Rhinolophus ferrumequinum: one gene and its partner. The protein of the gene in region 2 interacts with the protein of the main gene of each other region in a pairwise test. Links are inferred from orthologs where the notes say so. Each region holds a gene or a part of one and is shown on either strand. Other genes may lie near its edges.

Region 1 (7,420 bases), on a different chromosome or scaffold from region 2:
CTTTCCGTCTTGGGTTGTTACAAACAACAATATTTGAATGACTCTAATTTCCTTCAGTTGAATCTCAAAAGGAAAACCACAATAGTGAAGTTGAAAAGTAGCACAGAAACCTGGGGAGAGGAAAAGATTGATTCAAGAAGCTTCCATGGGGAGATGGCAGCAGGGCCTTGTGGGCGTTTTACTTAAGTGAGGAGAAGGATATGTTAGTGATGCTTTGCTTGTACACCTTTCTCTGTACGTCTGAAATCTGTATAAAGGCAAGTTTTGAACAGTTTAAATCTATAGAAGTCAGCTCAAAAGTGTGCCAGTGAGGCCCCTCCCCCCTATCAGCCCACTCTGGGGGTAAAGAGCTGCCTCCAGGACCCTTCTTTCCAAATACCCAAGCCAGACAGTGAATGCCTGGCGAGGCCGCCAAGAAGCTTTTCCTGGTTAAAGTCAAGTGTTCAAAACCCAATCCCTTCGGCCACTTGTATTCTGACCAGATTCCACGACAGACACTCCTCTGTCTCCAAAAGGAACACCTATCTCTACGGCCTGATATTAAGAACATGGGGCAGGGGAGACCCCAGTGGAATGCAAAACAAGAAAACCACAGCATGTCTTTCCTTGGAGACATGGTCAGGACACTTCAGGAAGTTAGAGAAGCAACAACCAAGGCCACTTTGGTGGCAAGGGCATGACAGGGGAGTGGCATCTGAAACAAGCTCACTATCCACCTTTCCACTGACACATGACTTGGTGCCGACTGCTCTGGGCCACGCGCTGCACACACTCAGAGTGAGACCAGGAGAAGCCCCACAGACGTGACAGATAGCCAACAGCGTTTTCCTGCCAAGTCATCAGAGATGTTGCAGTACATCAAGAGCACCGACACTTACTTCTCTTTCTCGGTCCAGACTTGTGAGTTTTCTAATCCAATGGTGTCGCCCACACCAAAGCAAGCCTCGAGTTTGCTGCTCATGCGAGGACTTAGAATCCTGTGTGTCTGTGGGTCTCGCAGAGGTGTCTGAAAAGTCACCTGTTGGGGAGGGCGGAGAGCACCTGTTCAATAGTTCAAGTTTCCAACCACCCCGCTGGCAGTGCTGTGTGCCCCGCCCGCTCAGTAAGTCACCAGGTCCCAAAGTGACACACGGTCGGTCTCATATGGGTAAAACGTTTACCTTCATAGCTTTGGCTATGCTCTTGGGCGGCACATTTTCTTTCTGTGACACACAGAGAACAGAGGATCTTCCGGTAAGTTCCAGTGGTGAAAACAGGAAGTCGCAGTTTTCTGTACTTCTGTCACCAGTGACATTTTCGTCATTGAAGATTTGCAGACTCATTCTGGAAACACAGTTTCTGTCAGCTTGAGGGCTGCGTCGTGCAGACGTGATGACAGCTGACCCTGCAGTGTCACAGGGAGATGCACCCGTCCAGCACAGGAGGGTCACACCTCAGGCAGCGTGTCCTCTACCAGTCCCTGTCCTGCTTTGGGGGACTGTGGCTCTTTAGCTGGGCTGGGGAGCTGCCACCACCCAGGACCAAGAGCTAGAAGGGCCTTCAGCCCACAGGGTAAGGAGGAAGAACGGATTCTCGCACTAAGTCAGATTTGGTGGGTAAGGAGACAGGTAAGTGCTGGCCTGGAGAAACTGCAGGAGAGGAAGGGTGGGGCTCCCCACAGGCCTCCACTCAGGGGGCCGGGGCCTCATCAGGGCTGGAGCAGGTGGCCAAGTCAGCAGAGAACAGAAAAGCAGAAGGGTGCTGAAGCTTGCTCCGTCACCCTCACGGGGCTGGAAAAGGGGGACCAGAAGAAGGTGTCAGGAGGGCAAAGGCCCAGGGGAGGAGTTGGAGGGAACAAGCAGCCACGGGCAGAATTACTCAGCAGGGCATTGAAGACCTTCTATATGAGGTCCTGGAATCTCAGAATCACACCAGGGGCCTCCAGTCAGGCCCACAAGGTTCTAGAACAGCCCACTCTTGCCAGAGTCTTCCACACGGTCACGGCCATGACTCCCAAACTAGGAGCTGCCATAGAGCTGAGCACCGACCTGCTCAAAGAGCACTACCGGAACTTGTTGATGGTGGGGGCCTTGGGGGCTGCTGCAGCACGGGGGCAGCCTGGAAATCAAGGTCAGAGTGGGAGGTGGGCAAGACCAGGGGCCCTGGAGGGAGTAGGAGCGGGGCCCAAGCCGAGGGGCCAGCCCTGGCGTGGCCAGCAGGCCCACCGCACTGTGCAAGAAGAAAGACAGGAGACAAGGGTGACTGAGGTTTCTGGCCGGTGTAACCGGTATAAGTGGGGGGGAGGGGGCAGTACAGCGATGGCGGCCTCTATCAGGGCTTTGGCTTCTACTAACGACAGAGACCGCGGGAGAAGCTCCCGAGCAGAAGCTGCCTGCGTGGAGTGCTGTGGTGGGGAGGGCGCGAGCCCAGGTGTCGCCGTGATGGAAATGGCTCCCAGGTGGGCCGCCCCCAGAGAAGGGAGGCAGGCCAGGCACAGCCGGGAATGAGAAGTCGGGTGGGGGACCAGCAGGGGGCTGCGGGCGGGGCGGAGATGTGCCCTCGCAAGTCGCCGCTACAGGTGGAATTTGAGGCTGGACGAGGTCTCCAGGGGGACGCAGGAGGCCTGCGGCCCGTGCCCTACGGACGACCCTTCTGGAGGGCGACCAGGAGACGAAGTAGCCGGAGAGCGTCGGCCGGGCTGGTGGGATGAGGACCAGGGAGATGTGCCTGGAAGGGCGGCGGCAAGGACGGGCGGCGGGGACCGGGAAGAAGCGGCCGTGCCGGCGGCGGCCCACGAGGAGTAGCCGCGGGAGGGGCCGGAGAGGGAAGTTAGCGACAGGGGTGGGGGTCGGCCAGCGCCCACCTGACGCCAGAGGGACCGGAGGGACTTCGCCGCCTTACCTGCCGGCCGCCGCACGGAGCAGACGGAGCGGGAGGCGCGGAGTCCCGGGTGCGTCCGCCCGCCGCCGATTCAAATACCGACGGTTGGCGCGCGCGGCCAATCAGCTCGCGGCCGTGGGCGGAACGCACGGGGCGCCAGCGGCCAATGGGAGGCCGCGCCGTCGGTTGCGCTTCCGGGGCTAGGGGCACGCTGGGCGAGGCGGGAGTCGGAAAGCCTCCCGGACCTTGGCTCGCCGAGCGGGCGGACGGGCGACGGCTGCAGGCCCCGCCGTCGACCAGAGCTCTCGGGCTCTGCTGCGGACGTGACTGGGTTGAGCGGAAAGGGGGGGCCTGAGCCGCTCGTCCGGGTCTCAGTTTACCCAGCTGTAAAATGGGACCAGGTACAGCTCCGCCCTCAAGGCGGGGCGTGAGGAGGAGCCAAACCCTTGGAGGACTGGCGGGCGGGTTCACAGATTACGCCAGTGTGCGGGGCGGGGGAACTCCATTTCCCGGAGTGCTCCGCGGGGTCTGCGTCTCCCAGAGCGCCCAGCGTTGCCCGGGGCGGTACTCCATTTCCCAGAGCGCCCCGCGGACGGGAACTCCATCTCCCACAGTACCCGGCGCCCATCCCCCGGCGCCTACGGGACCCGGACGCTCGGGCCTGTTCCCCGCGCCGTGGGCGGCGGCCTTGCCCCGACGGCTTGGTGGTGCCGGCGGCGGCGCGATGGACAGTCCCGAGGTCACCTTCACGCTGGCCTACCTGGTGTTCGCCGTGTGCTTCGTGTTCACGCCCACCGAGTTCCACTCGGCCGGGCTCACGGTGCAGAACCTGCTGTCGGGCTGGCTGGGCAGCGAGGATGCCGCCTTCGTGCCCTACCACCTGCGCCGCACGGCTGCCACGCTGCTGTGCCACTCGCTGCTGCCGCTGGGTGAGGCGCCTGATGCTCTTGGTCATTGTTCCCCTGGTGGACGGAGGCAGCTGGCCGGGTCAAGGGCTCGCGTAGCCCAGCCCCAGGGCCCCTGAGGTGGCTGGGTCGCGGGGTCACCTCCCTCTGGGGAATAGTCAGAGAGAATGCCGGGAACACCGGTCGCCCCGAGAGCCGAGGCTGTGGGCCGACTGCCCGTGTGTTTACAGCCGGCGACAGCTGGACGTTTGCAGGTGGCAGAGCCCTAGAGGGGATGTTTCCCCCAGCTGGGGCAGGTCGCCAAATGTTACGTGGGTGGCATTACCCAGGAGAGGAGCACAAATTAACTGATTCCAACACAGGGAGGAGGTGGCCTTGCCCAGGCCATGGAAGGTGGGTGTGGAAAGGGCAGGCAGAGATGGTTGACACCACGTGAAGGTGTCACAGGTGCAGAGACTGGAAAGCCTGTGTTTGGCCAGTATGCTCAGTGGTTATCCAGAGACTGTGCTGGGCGCTGACCCAGGTGCTAGCTGGCCCATGGGAGGCCAGTCTGTCTTCCGGTTGGTCGGGGGACTGGCTAAAGAGTGGGGTACTAGTCAGGATTTCTGGAGGACATGGCAGAAGCAGGTCTGGGACAGCAGGTGGCTGGTGGCCGGCCCCACCTGCAGCCCTGTGGACACAGGGAGTGGTTTTCACCTGGCAGCTGGGCACAGCAGTCCTGCGGACGTGGAGAGCAGCCGGAAGGGGGCTGGGCTGAGGCTGCAAGTGCATGGGGGCTGTCTGTGGGAATCCAGAATTTAGGTGTCTGCATGATTAAGGTGGCCACACATGGAAGAGGTGGTGAAGCCTGGTGGTGCCCAGACACAGGGCTGTTTTTAAATTCATTTTGAAAAGCTTTGAGGCTTCTAGATCGAACACCTATTGCAACTTAACAAATTATCCTAAAAGGTAGTGACTTGACCGACAGCAAACGTTTACTATTAGGTTTGCAATCTCAGACCTGCCTGTGCAGCCGCTCGCTATCTGCTTCATTCATTTATTTGACTTGCAGATGGCCCCCACCTGGCCTGCAGGGGCCCGGGCACTGGCTCCTGTGTTCTTTTGAGGTGCCCCCATCCTTCTCTGCTTACTGTCTGGCACATGATGGGCCAGCTTAGGATAAGCCTCCTCAGAGGGTGTGGGGTCAAGAGGCCAATGGGGGCCAGTGGGCAGCTCTGCAGAGGGTGACACCAGATCCTAGTATTTATTTTGCCTTTCTAGGTTTTTCTAGTTTTCCGTACTCACGTATTGTGTGAAAATTAAAAATGCTTTTCCTTCACTTATTGTGTCAGTGCCATGGGCAAGGGCTGAACCTGGCCAGCCGTGAGACTCACCTGGCCTCGGGTACACAGCCTCACCTTGGGAGCTGACCAGGGCAGAGTGCCAGGCCCAGGGCTGGGGACGCAAGGAAGTGGCCCCCTGGGTGGTGCAGGGGCAGCACTGCAGCTCTTGGTGAGCACCACCAGGGCAGGGCGAGGGCCTGGCATGCGACCTTTGCTGAGGCCGCCCCGTCCCTTGCAGGCTATTACATGGGCATGTGCTTTGCAGCCTCGGAGAAGCGGCTCTACTCCCCTAGCCAGGCCCCTGAGGCCTGGCAGCTCTTCCTCCTGCTGGCGGTGACCCTGCCCACCATCGCCTGCAGCCTCACCTACAACTGGTCCCGGGACCGGTGGGCCCGCCACCCACTGGCCCGCACCCTGGCCCTCTATGCCCTCCCGCAGTCAGGCTGGCGGGCTGTTGCTTCCTCAGTCAACACTGAGTTCCGGCGGATTGATAAGTTTGCCACTGGGGCGCCGGGTGCCCGTGTAATCGTGACGGACACGTGGGTGATGAAAGTGACCACATACCGTGTGCACGTGGCCCAGCAACAGGATGTGCACCTGACTGTGACAGAGTCACAGCAGCATGAGCTGTCACCGGACTCAAACCTGCCTGTGCAGCTCCTCACCATCCGTGTGGCCAGTGCCAGCCCTGCCGTGCAGGCCTTCGACATCAGGTAGGCACACCTGTGGTGGGGCAGGGCGGGCTGGGGCTCACGGGCGGGCGTGTGCCCAGCTTGTGCCCCATTCCGGTGTCTGTGTCCCTCTGGGAGGTGGTGATGGGTGGGAGTGGCTCCTCCAGTGTGACCCTCCCTCAGGGCCCCTCCCTGGCCCCCTGCCCCCCTCTTGCCCCCACAGGTATCCTCCGCTCCCCTTTCATGCACGTTGTCCTCTGAGCTGCTTCCATAGCTTCTCAGGGGAGCACACTGCGACATCTGGGAGCTGGGCAGCACAGGTGTGTTGCTGCCTCACCTGTGGGGCCTGGGCTGGAGCTGAGGTCCTCCATCTCTCAGGCCATGGCTGGCCTGCTGGGCCCCTCCTAGGACACGACTTGGAACCTGCCCAAAGCTCTGTGTCTCAGCGGCAGTCCTCCCACCCTTCCTGTGTCCCGTGGGGGCTAGCATGTGGTGCCGGGTCTGTGGGCTCTGGCCTCAGGGCCATCTTTGCTGGCTGGTTCTCACCAGGAAGGTGGGCTGGGCCTGGGTCCTCATGTTCTATGTGGCTGTGGGCCCCTCCATCACCCTCGGGGCACAGCCTCGGCCTCCCCTATGCCTGCCCCAGGGTCCTGCCAGGCCCCCTGGGAACAGAAGCCTTGGCCCAGCGGACTTAACCCGGCCCCTGCCTCGTGCAGGCTCAACTCCACGGAGTATGGCGAGCTGTGTGAGAAGCTGCGGGCACCCATCCGCAGTGCGGCCCACGTGGTCATCCGCCAGAGCCTCAGTGACCTCTTCCTGGACACGTTTGCCTCCCTGGTGGATGCCAATCCGGCCTACTCGGTCCCCAGCAGCCAGGTGGGGGGCTGGGCGGGGGCGGGTAGTTTCCCATAGCCAGATCCCCACAGGCCAGGTCCCCTGGTTGGGGGGCTGGGGGCCTTATGGGGGTGTCCAGCCAGGCTCCTGTGACCCCCTTGGGCTGCCCGCAGGAACTGGAGGCATGCATCGGCTGCATGCAGACACGTGCCAGTGTTAAGCTGGTGAAGACTTGCCAGGAGGCGGCCGAAGGCGAGTGCCAGCAGTGCTACTGCCGCCCCATGTGGTGTCTCATCTGCATGGGCAAGTGGTTCGCCAGCCGCCAGGACCCGCAACGCCCTGACACCTGGCTGGCCAGCCGCGTGCCCTGCCCCACTTGCCGTGCGCGCTTCTGCATCCTGGACGTGTGTGCCGTGCGCTGAGTTGGCCAGCCCCTGCCAGTGCCCCCACCGCTGCCTCCAGGCCAGGGCTCCCCCAATTGCAGGAGGATGAGGGCTTTCATCCTCTCTACAGAGGAAGTTCTCTGCTGAAGCTCAGGCGGTGGCGATGGACTGGGTCTTCAGCGCTCCTGCTGCCTCCATTTCCCACTCCTCCCGTGCGGGTGGGTGCTTGTCACAGAGAAAACCGCCTTGGGCCTATCTCCGAAGGATTCCAGGGGCCCCTGAGCTGTCTTTTCCCAGATGGCCCTAACCTGGGCCACTTGCCTTAATTTTATGGAGCACGTCTACCTGCTGGTTATATGCCAGACGCAGTTTCGTCCAAGACCAGCCATGATAAGTCCTCCTACTCCTGTTCCCAAGCCGGCTGCTGGCCTCACGGAAGCTGCTCT
Region 2 (6,916 bases):
TCAGACAACTCCACTCTCTGTCCCTGTGGTCTGGGTGGTGTTGACCCCACTTCCATCTGCAGCGGCAGCCACAAGACCTGGGTGAGGCCAATCAGAGACTTCCATTTACCTGGCAACCGTGATTGGCTCTAGGATAGGCACATGACTCAAACTAGCCAATTGGAGGCTGCCCTGGGAGGTTTTCTGAAGAAATTGGGATGGAGGGACCTGCTTTCTGATGGTTGTAGAGCTGACAGGAGGAAACCTGGGGCCTCTGAGGGCTCCATCCACTACCTCAAATGCCATACACACTGCCTGAAAATGAGGCCTCTTCCTAGGAGCTGAGAGATGGAAAGAGATTCTCAGAGACCCTGGTTTCAGCCATACCTGATGCTAGCCCTGCCTCTGGATTTTTTGCTCATGCGATCTAATCCATTGCGTCCCTTTTGAGTAAGCTTTTTGTCCCTTGTGATACAATAATCTCTAGGCACAGTCACTCACTCCACAAGTCCCCTTCAAACCATGTGTTGAACATTAGCAGCTCGTACGATGAAAAGAACTAACGTTCCCTGAGTACTTGCCATACAACAAACCCTGTGCTAAGCATGATCTCATCTCATCTTCCCAACAACCCAGGGTTTGAATCCTGTCTCTGTCATGTTCTGGCTTCATGGCCATGAACAAGTGTCTTGACCTCTCTGTACTTCAGTTTTCTCGTCTGCAAAATGGGAATCATTGCACCTCATTGGCATGCAGCAAAGGAATTCTAGTGTTTTCCCCCTGCCTGCCCCATGACCCGGCCATACCTTCAGCTCAGGCATGCTGCCGATGAGCTCGTAGGGCACCTTCACATCAGGGCAGTTGGTATAGTCGAGGGGGACAAGCTGGGGGGCCAGGTCCTGGTAGCGATAGAAGAGCCTAGTGTAGGGAGGGAAATACCAGGAAGTGCTGGGAGGTGGGAGGGAGGGGACTTGTCCCTCTTCTCTCACTCTTGCAGCTACTCACTCCACACTGAAGGATATTGGGTCCCTAAGAGCCATCAGTCCTGGGCCCAGCCTTCAGGCACACAGAGCAACACACAGGCACCTCTATCTCCCTGGGGACAAAGCCAAGGTAGACAGACAGTCCCAGAGCTTGGGGACACCAGACTCGGAGAAGCAAGCCAGACAGGATGAAGGACTTCCTGGAAGAGGGGTCATTGGAGCTGGGTTTGGAAGCATGACTAGGAGCTCACCAGGCAAATGGGCTTGACAGAAGGGAGAGTGCGTAGGGCGAGATCATTTCACAATAAGCATTGAGAGAATCTGAACCGACCTATGAATCTCTGGACGTCATCACTTTGTCAGCAAGACCATGTTTTTAAAGACCCTCCTCCTCATTTTCCCTCTCCCCCTCCATAATGGGAGGCAGGATTCCCTCAATGAGGCAGAGCAGAGACAAAGGCTAATATTCAGGCTTTTCAAAAGGGTAACTGAAAGGCATTTTGGAAAACACCAAATGCCATACCCACTACCTCGACTGGGAGGCCAGCTCTGAACTATGATGCACTCACCTGGTGACACCATTCCTTCATTGGGCCCCTGAGCAACACCCTAATAGAGATTTTCCTTGATGACCTAATAGAGAAGTCCCCACGCTGCTAGAGACTGTCTCAGAAGGGGACAGGAGCCTTTGGGTCATACGGTGACTAGGTACTCAAGGAAGGGAGTATCTGGAATCCGGTCTTGACCACCGGATGGGTCCCCTCCAGGGACAGCCCGAGTTTGAGGTGCTGTACGGCCTTGAGCAAGTCCCTCTTCTCCTTTGAGCCTCAGTTAGTCTGTCTGACAAGCGAGAAGCTTGGGATAGACGAAATATCCGCCCTCAAACTCGTTGGGACTCATCCCATCTGCAGAGTTGGGGTCAGCCTCCCCTGTCTGAGCCTCAGTTTCCCCATCAGTAATTCGATCATCATAGCCGGGGTGACCCTGCGAGCTGTCTTCGCCCAGACAATGGGGCTCACTGGTGAAAGGTGTGCCCATCAATAATGGATGTCCGTTGCCCACACAATTGGGCCCTTGGCCCCGATCACTCTGCAGCCGAACCCTGGCCAGCTTGGGTTTCACAGCTCCAAGTTCCTGGGTCAGGGCCTCTGGACAATGGCTCCCTGGGCCAAGTGATGATGTGGGATACCCATTTATGTCTGTCTCGCTCACACCAGGGACCTGAAACAGCCTCAGGGCGCCTCCCTGTACCCTCCCCTTGACGTCAACCCCATAGCCCAGAGCTGCCTCTTGACTCTGCAGCTGTGCCCCCAGCCTCTAGTCTCAGCCTCTTCACACAGGCCTGGGGGGTGGGATCCTTCTAACATGCTGACCTGTCTCTCCCCTGCTCACACACTCTCCATGACTCCCTGCCACCCTTGGGAGAAAATCCAAGCTCGTCAGCCTACAGGCGAGACAATAAGATCAGATGTGGCTTCTCAGCCGCCCCATCTCTGCCTCTGTCCACTGACCATTAGCTCTCTAACTGCCACGAAGCATTGGCCCTTGTCAAATTCCAAACATCCTCCAATACCGTATAGAAAGCTGTTTCCGGGTCTTCCTCCCTTCCTCCCCAGACTGACCTCATGATTTCCTTCCTCGTGAAGAAGGTACAGTCCTGGGGAGAGAGACATTGGCTTGGCCCAGCCCCTACCCGGGCTTCCTCTCCCCACCTCCCCCTGCTCATCTCTGCCGATGCCACACACAGAGCTGCACCAGGAACCCTTGCTGACTGCCCACCCAGGACCAAGGGATGCTGCCCCCATTCCTCAGGCCAGGAAACCAAAGCTGCCCCACACATTACTCCCACCTGATACGCTTCCAGCTGCTCATGAGTAAAGACTGTCTGCTTGTTGCCCATGATGAAGGCCACCGCCAGGAACAGGCTCCTGAAGCCCCCAGGCTCCTCAGGGCCACACGGTTGCCAGGCTGCCACGCACCAGTGTCTAGGCAAATCTCCCTGCCCTGGCTGTCACCCGCCCACCCGCCCCATCACCCCAAGCCTGGGTGAGACTCAAGTTACAGCCAAGCTCTCTGGCCAACAGTCTGAGTATGTCCACGGCCACCAGGGCAAGAAGAAAGTCTGTGGGAGGTCACAGAGCCTCAGACCACATCTGCCATCACCAGGTGGGCTTGGGGGGAGGGGGCACCTTCCAGAGACAGGCATTATGGTGGAGAGGCTTCAAGCATATTCCAGCTCAAATACTAGTTCTCTACCCACTAGCTGTGTGGCCCCAGGCAAGTCACCTGACCTCTCTGAGCCTCATTTTGTAAGATGGAAATTATTTTTGTACCTACTTCATAGAGTTGTTCTGAGATCTAATGAGGGCATTAATGCAACCAAAAAATTGGACTTATTAATCACTGGGCATAAAGTTTCAGTTAAACAAGATGAAAAACTTGTACAACATTGTACCTGTCATCAACATTAATGTAGTGTACACTTAACAATTTCTGAAGACAATAGATCTCATGTTAAGTGTTCTTGCCACAATCAAATAAAATTACAAAACATGCAACTATCATATGACCCGGCACTTGCACTCTTGCGCAGTCCCAGAGAAATGAAAATTTATGTTCATACAAAAACCTGTAATGAATGTCTTATTCATAATAGCCTCAAATGGGAAACACCTCATATGACATTTCCCCTTAGAACATTAATTATCAGTGGAAGTAATATTACCCCAAAGGAGACAAAAAATTGGTTCAGGGTGGGGACAAGAAAACCTTAGATATTTCAATGGTTTCTGGCCCTTCAAAGCTCTACCCTCCCTGATAAAATCTTATTCATCAGTATTTAACTTTTCTTATTAAGTGAATTTAAGTTAAAGTGTTCTCTTTAGGTGTTGATAATGAAAAAAAGGTTGAGAAATACTGTCTTAAATGTTTGTAAAATATTGATGCATCTACGATGGATGGCTTCATAGTGTCGTGACAAAAGCAGGGATGGAACACTCAGCATAGGTTGGATTCCAGTTTGTGCCTCAGTTCCTCTAATAAAATCAGGATGGTTTATGTAACAAGGTGGCTGTGAGAGTAAATGAGATGATCCATGTAAATCCATATAAAGTATTAGCTGTTGTTTTCATCACCCCCATTTTATGAGGAAAGGGAAGCTCAAAGACTTCAAGCCACTTGCTCCAGGGCACACAGTCTTGGAAGCGCTGTAGACGAGCTCCAAAATTGCTGGGTTGGCTGGGGAGAAGAGATTTCTCCACTTGAGTTTCTCCTGTGTCCCTCTCTGAGGAGTTGATTCTACCATGGATGGACCCATGAGGAAGCTGGCACAGGCTGGCAGTCCCCCATGGTTCTCTGTTGGCATTCTCATCCAATTCTGAAATGCTAAAAGGTGAGACTTTGGCTGGAGAATTGGGCAGCCGCTTGCTGCCCCCTGCAGGTAGAACTGGGAAATGCAGGCACCGAGCCCTCCTTGGTCCAGTGTCGTCTAGATTTGGGGATGCTTGCTTTTTCTACCTCCTTCATCCCCTACCTTTCCCACCACCACCCTGCCCAAGTCCCTGGTACAATTTGGGCAACAGTACAAATTAAAATGCGTATTAACCATTGAACCGTCAAAATATGGCAATAAAAAAGAACAGGCTATCCAAATACATGCAAAACACTCAAAAAAGCGTTGGGTGTTAAGAATTGGAGTTTGTCAAATTGGTTTCAATTGTCTAGAGGAACCCAAAAGCGGAGAAACCATAAGTGGGGCCCAAAGCCGGAAGTGTGGCACAGGGTGCAGAGTGGCCCATAGCGCCTGACTCTGCAGGCTCAGCCCTCAACCCGGAAGTGTGGCCAAGGACGCATGCGCAACGCCTAGCTGGGCCACTCAAGACCAAGGGAGGCAGGCGTTCTTCCGGAAACAGTGAACAGGAAGTGTGGCAGTTTACCTGGCGAACTGCAGACAGGCGTCATGGCGTCCTACGAGCAGGTCCAAAAGGGGCCCTTGAAGCTGAAAGGCGTTGCAGAGGTCGGCGTGACCAAGCGGTGAGTCCCGAAAGCCCATCGTCTGCCCCGTAAGCCTTTTTCCGACACCCCGGGCTCTTGCTCTCTGGCCGCCCTCACTCCATCTTCTGTTTTCCCTCCCAGGAAGAAGAAAAAGAAGGACAAAGACCAGGCGAAACTCCTGGAAGCGATGGGAACGAGCAAAAAGAACGAGGAGGAGAAGCGGCGCGGTCTGGACAAGCGGACCCCGGCCCAGGCGGCCTTCGAGAAGATGCAGGAGAAGCGGGTGAGGCGGGTGGAAAGGCTGGGGATGCCCCGCGCCGCGGGCCTGGGTCTCCGGGGTGGGTGCTTAGGAAAAGCCCGGAGACTCGGAACCGGGACAGTCCCGGGATGCTTGGAGGAGGGCGAGCGGTCAGAAATGATCTTAATTCCGGGGGAAAGATGCTGAGCAAGAGGAAGAGTCCGCGTCTGAGGGAGCTCGGACAACGGGAAGGACCTTCAGCCCGAGGGGACAGCAGAGGGGAGAGCTAGAGATGGCGTTGAAAGGAGCCAGAGCTGGAGACCGGGTTTGTCGCTCCTTTGCCCTGTGACACTGGGCCAGTGACTCATCTTCTTTCCGTGCCCCAGTTTCCTCATCTGTAGGGGTCAAGATACGTACTTTTTCCTAAAAGGAATGGGAGCTTTGTGATGGCATGTAAAGCATTTGTCACTAGGTCTGGTATAAAGTCATTGCTCAGTTGATGTTAGCTGTTGATGTTAAATGGTCGTGCTCCCTGCTGTAAGTGTCCACAAACTCTGTTCCCGTGACGACTTCGTTGGCAGATTCAAATATGTTGTTTTTAAGTGTCTGTTATTTTTCTAAATATCGATAAATGTGGGTGGTGGGGCATAGGAGGGGGCAACGTTAGATAAGCTTGGCCCGTTACGCTGGGGGGAGGGACTAATAGGTCTCAACTGAGGGCCATTTTGTCCCCCTACTTCCCTTCCCAAGAAGACATTTGGCAATGTTTGGAGACATTTTTCTTTGTCATAACTCAGGAGGGGAGCTGCTAGCATCTAGTGGGTGGAGGTCAGAATGCTACTCAACATTCTGCAGTGCTCAAGATAGTGCCCCTACAGGGAAGAACGCAGTACCCAAAATGTCAAAGCACCAGGCTGAAAAACTCTAATCTTGGTCTGGGTGATGCCGTCAAGTGACATGGGGAAAATTGTACTTATTGCTCTCAGGCTTAATTCAGTAGTACAGAGAGAGAGAGAGAGAGAGAGAGAGAGAGATGAGAAGCACTGTCTTTTGGGTTCCAGTCTTGGTGGTGTAACTCTGGGCAAGTTGGCTAAGCTCCCACACCTCAGTTTCTTCATCAGGAAAGTGGGGCTTAAGTCCCTACCTCGTAAGTTTTTGGTGAGGATTTAACAAGTGAATGTACTTAAGTCCCTTCCCACAGTTATAATCAGAGGCAGGCTTGGGCTATAACTCCTGGAGCAGGAATGGAGTGGGGAAGAGGCTAATGCAACCTACAGTGCGATTAATAGTGGCTTCTTAGAGGTGGGCAGTAATAGTGGAAGCTATGGAAGGTATCGAATTTGGGATAGATTTGGAAGGAAGGACAGCAGGATCAGCTGATGGATTGCGTGTTGCGTGTGGGCTGGGAAAGAAGAATCAAGGATGACCAAGATTTTGGGCAGGAGAAGCTGGGTGAAGGAAGGTGCCATTTACTGAGATAGGAAGGACTGTGGGTGAAGCAGGTTTCTAAAGGGAGGGATCAAGACCTTGGTTTTAGAGAAGTCAACTTTGAGGTCCCTTTTAGTAATCCAAGTGGAGAATTCTCGTGGAGCGTTTGATTTCTGAATCTGCAGTTTAGTGGAGAGATCTGAGCCCCAGATAAACATCGGGGAGTTGCTGTAGAACTGGATGACCTCCTCTGAGGAGCAACAGTGACAGAGAAAAGGTATAAGGTCTGACCTCT

What was found.
Region 1: the proteins of CIB3 (region 2) and TACC3 interact in binary tests that used the Homo sapiens proteins (3 or more experiments, as listed by UniProt). The two-hybrid records come from large-scale screens. The link is inferred for Rhinolophus ferrumequinum from reciprocal best matches to the Homo sapiens genes CIB3 and TACC3.

What each region holds. Positions count from the first base shown.
Region 1 is NC_046288.1:87,242,402-87,249,821, forward strand, and holds the start of TACC3 (transforming acidic coiled-coil-containing protein 3), read right to left. Parts: upstream 3,014-7,420; 5' UTR 2,881-3,013; intron 1,385-2,880; exon of another isoform or gene 1,324-1,384; 5' UTR 1,323-1,323; coding exon 1,161-1,322; intron 1,019-1,160; coding exon 879-1,018; intron 1-878. Other genes in the region: TMEM129 (E3 ubiquitin-protein ligase TM129), read left to right, coding at 3,251-3,788, 5,325-5,799, 6,474-6,633, 6,765-7,013. UniProt on the Homo sapiens protein: Plays a role in the microtubule-dependent coupling of the nucleus and the centrosome. Involved in the processes that regulate centrosome-mediated interkinetic nuclear migration (INM) of neural progenitors.
Region 2 is NC_046301.1:49,780,214-49,787,129, forward strand, and holds the start of CIB3 (calcium and integrin-binding family member 3), read right to left. Parts: upstream 3,013-6,916; 5' UTR 2,863-3,012; coding exon 2,812-2,862; intron 2,620-2,811; coding exon 2,585-2,619; intron 898-2,584; coding exon 786-897; intron 1-785. Other genes in the region: protein FAM32A, read left to right, coding at 4,921-4,994, 5,097-5,238. UniProt on the Homo sapiens protein: Acts a an auxiliary subunit of the sensory mechanoelectrical transduction (MET) channel in hair cells. Plays a role in regulating hair cell MET channel localization and function.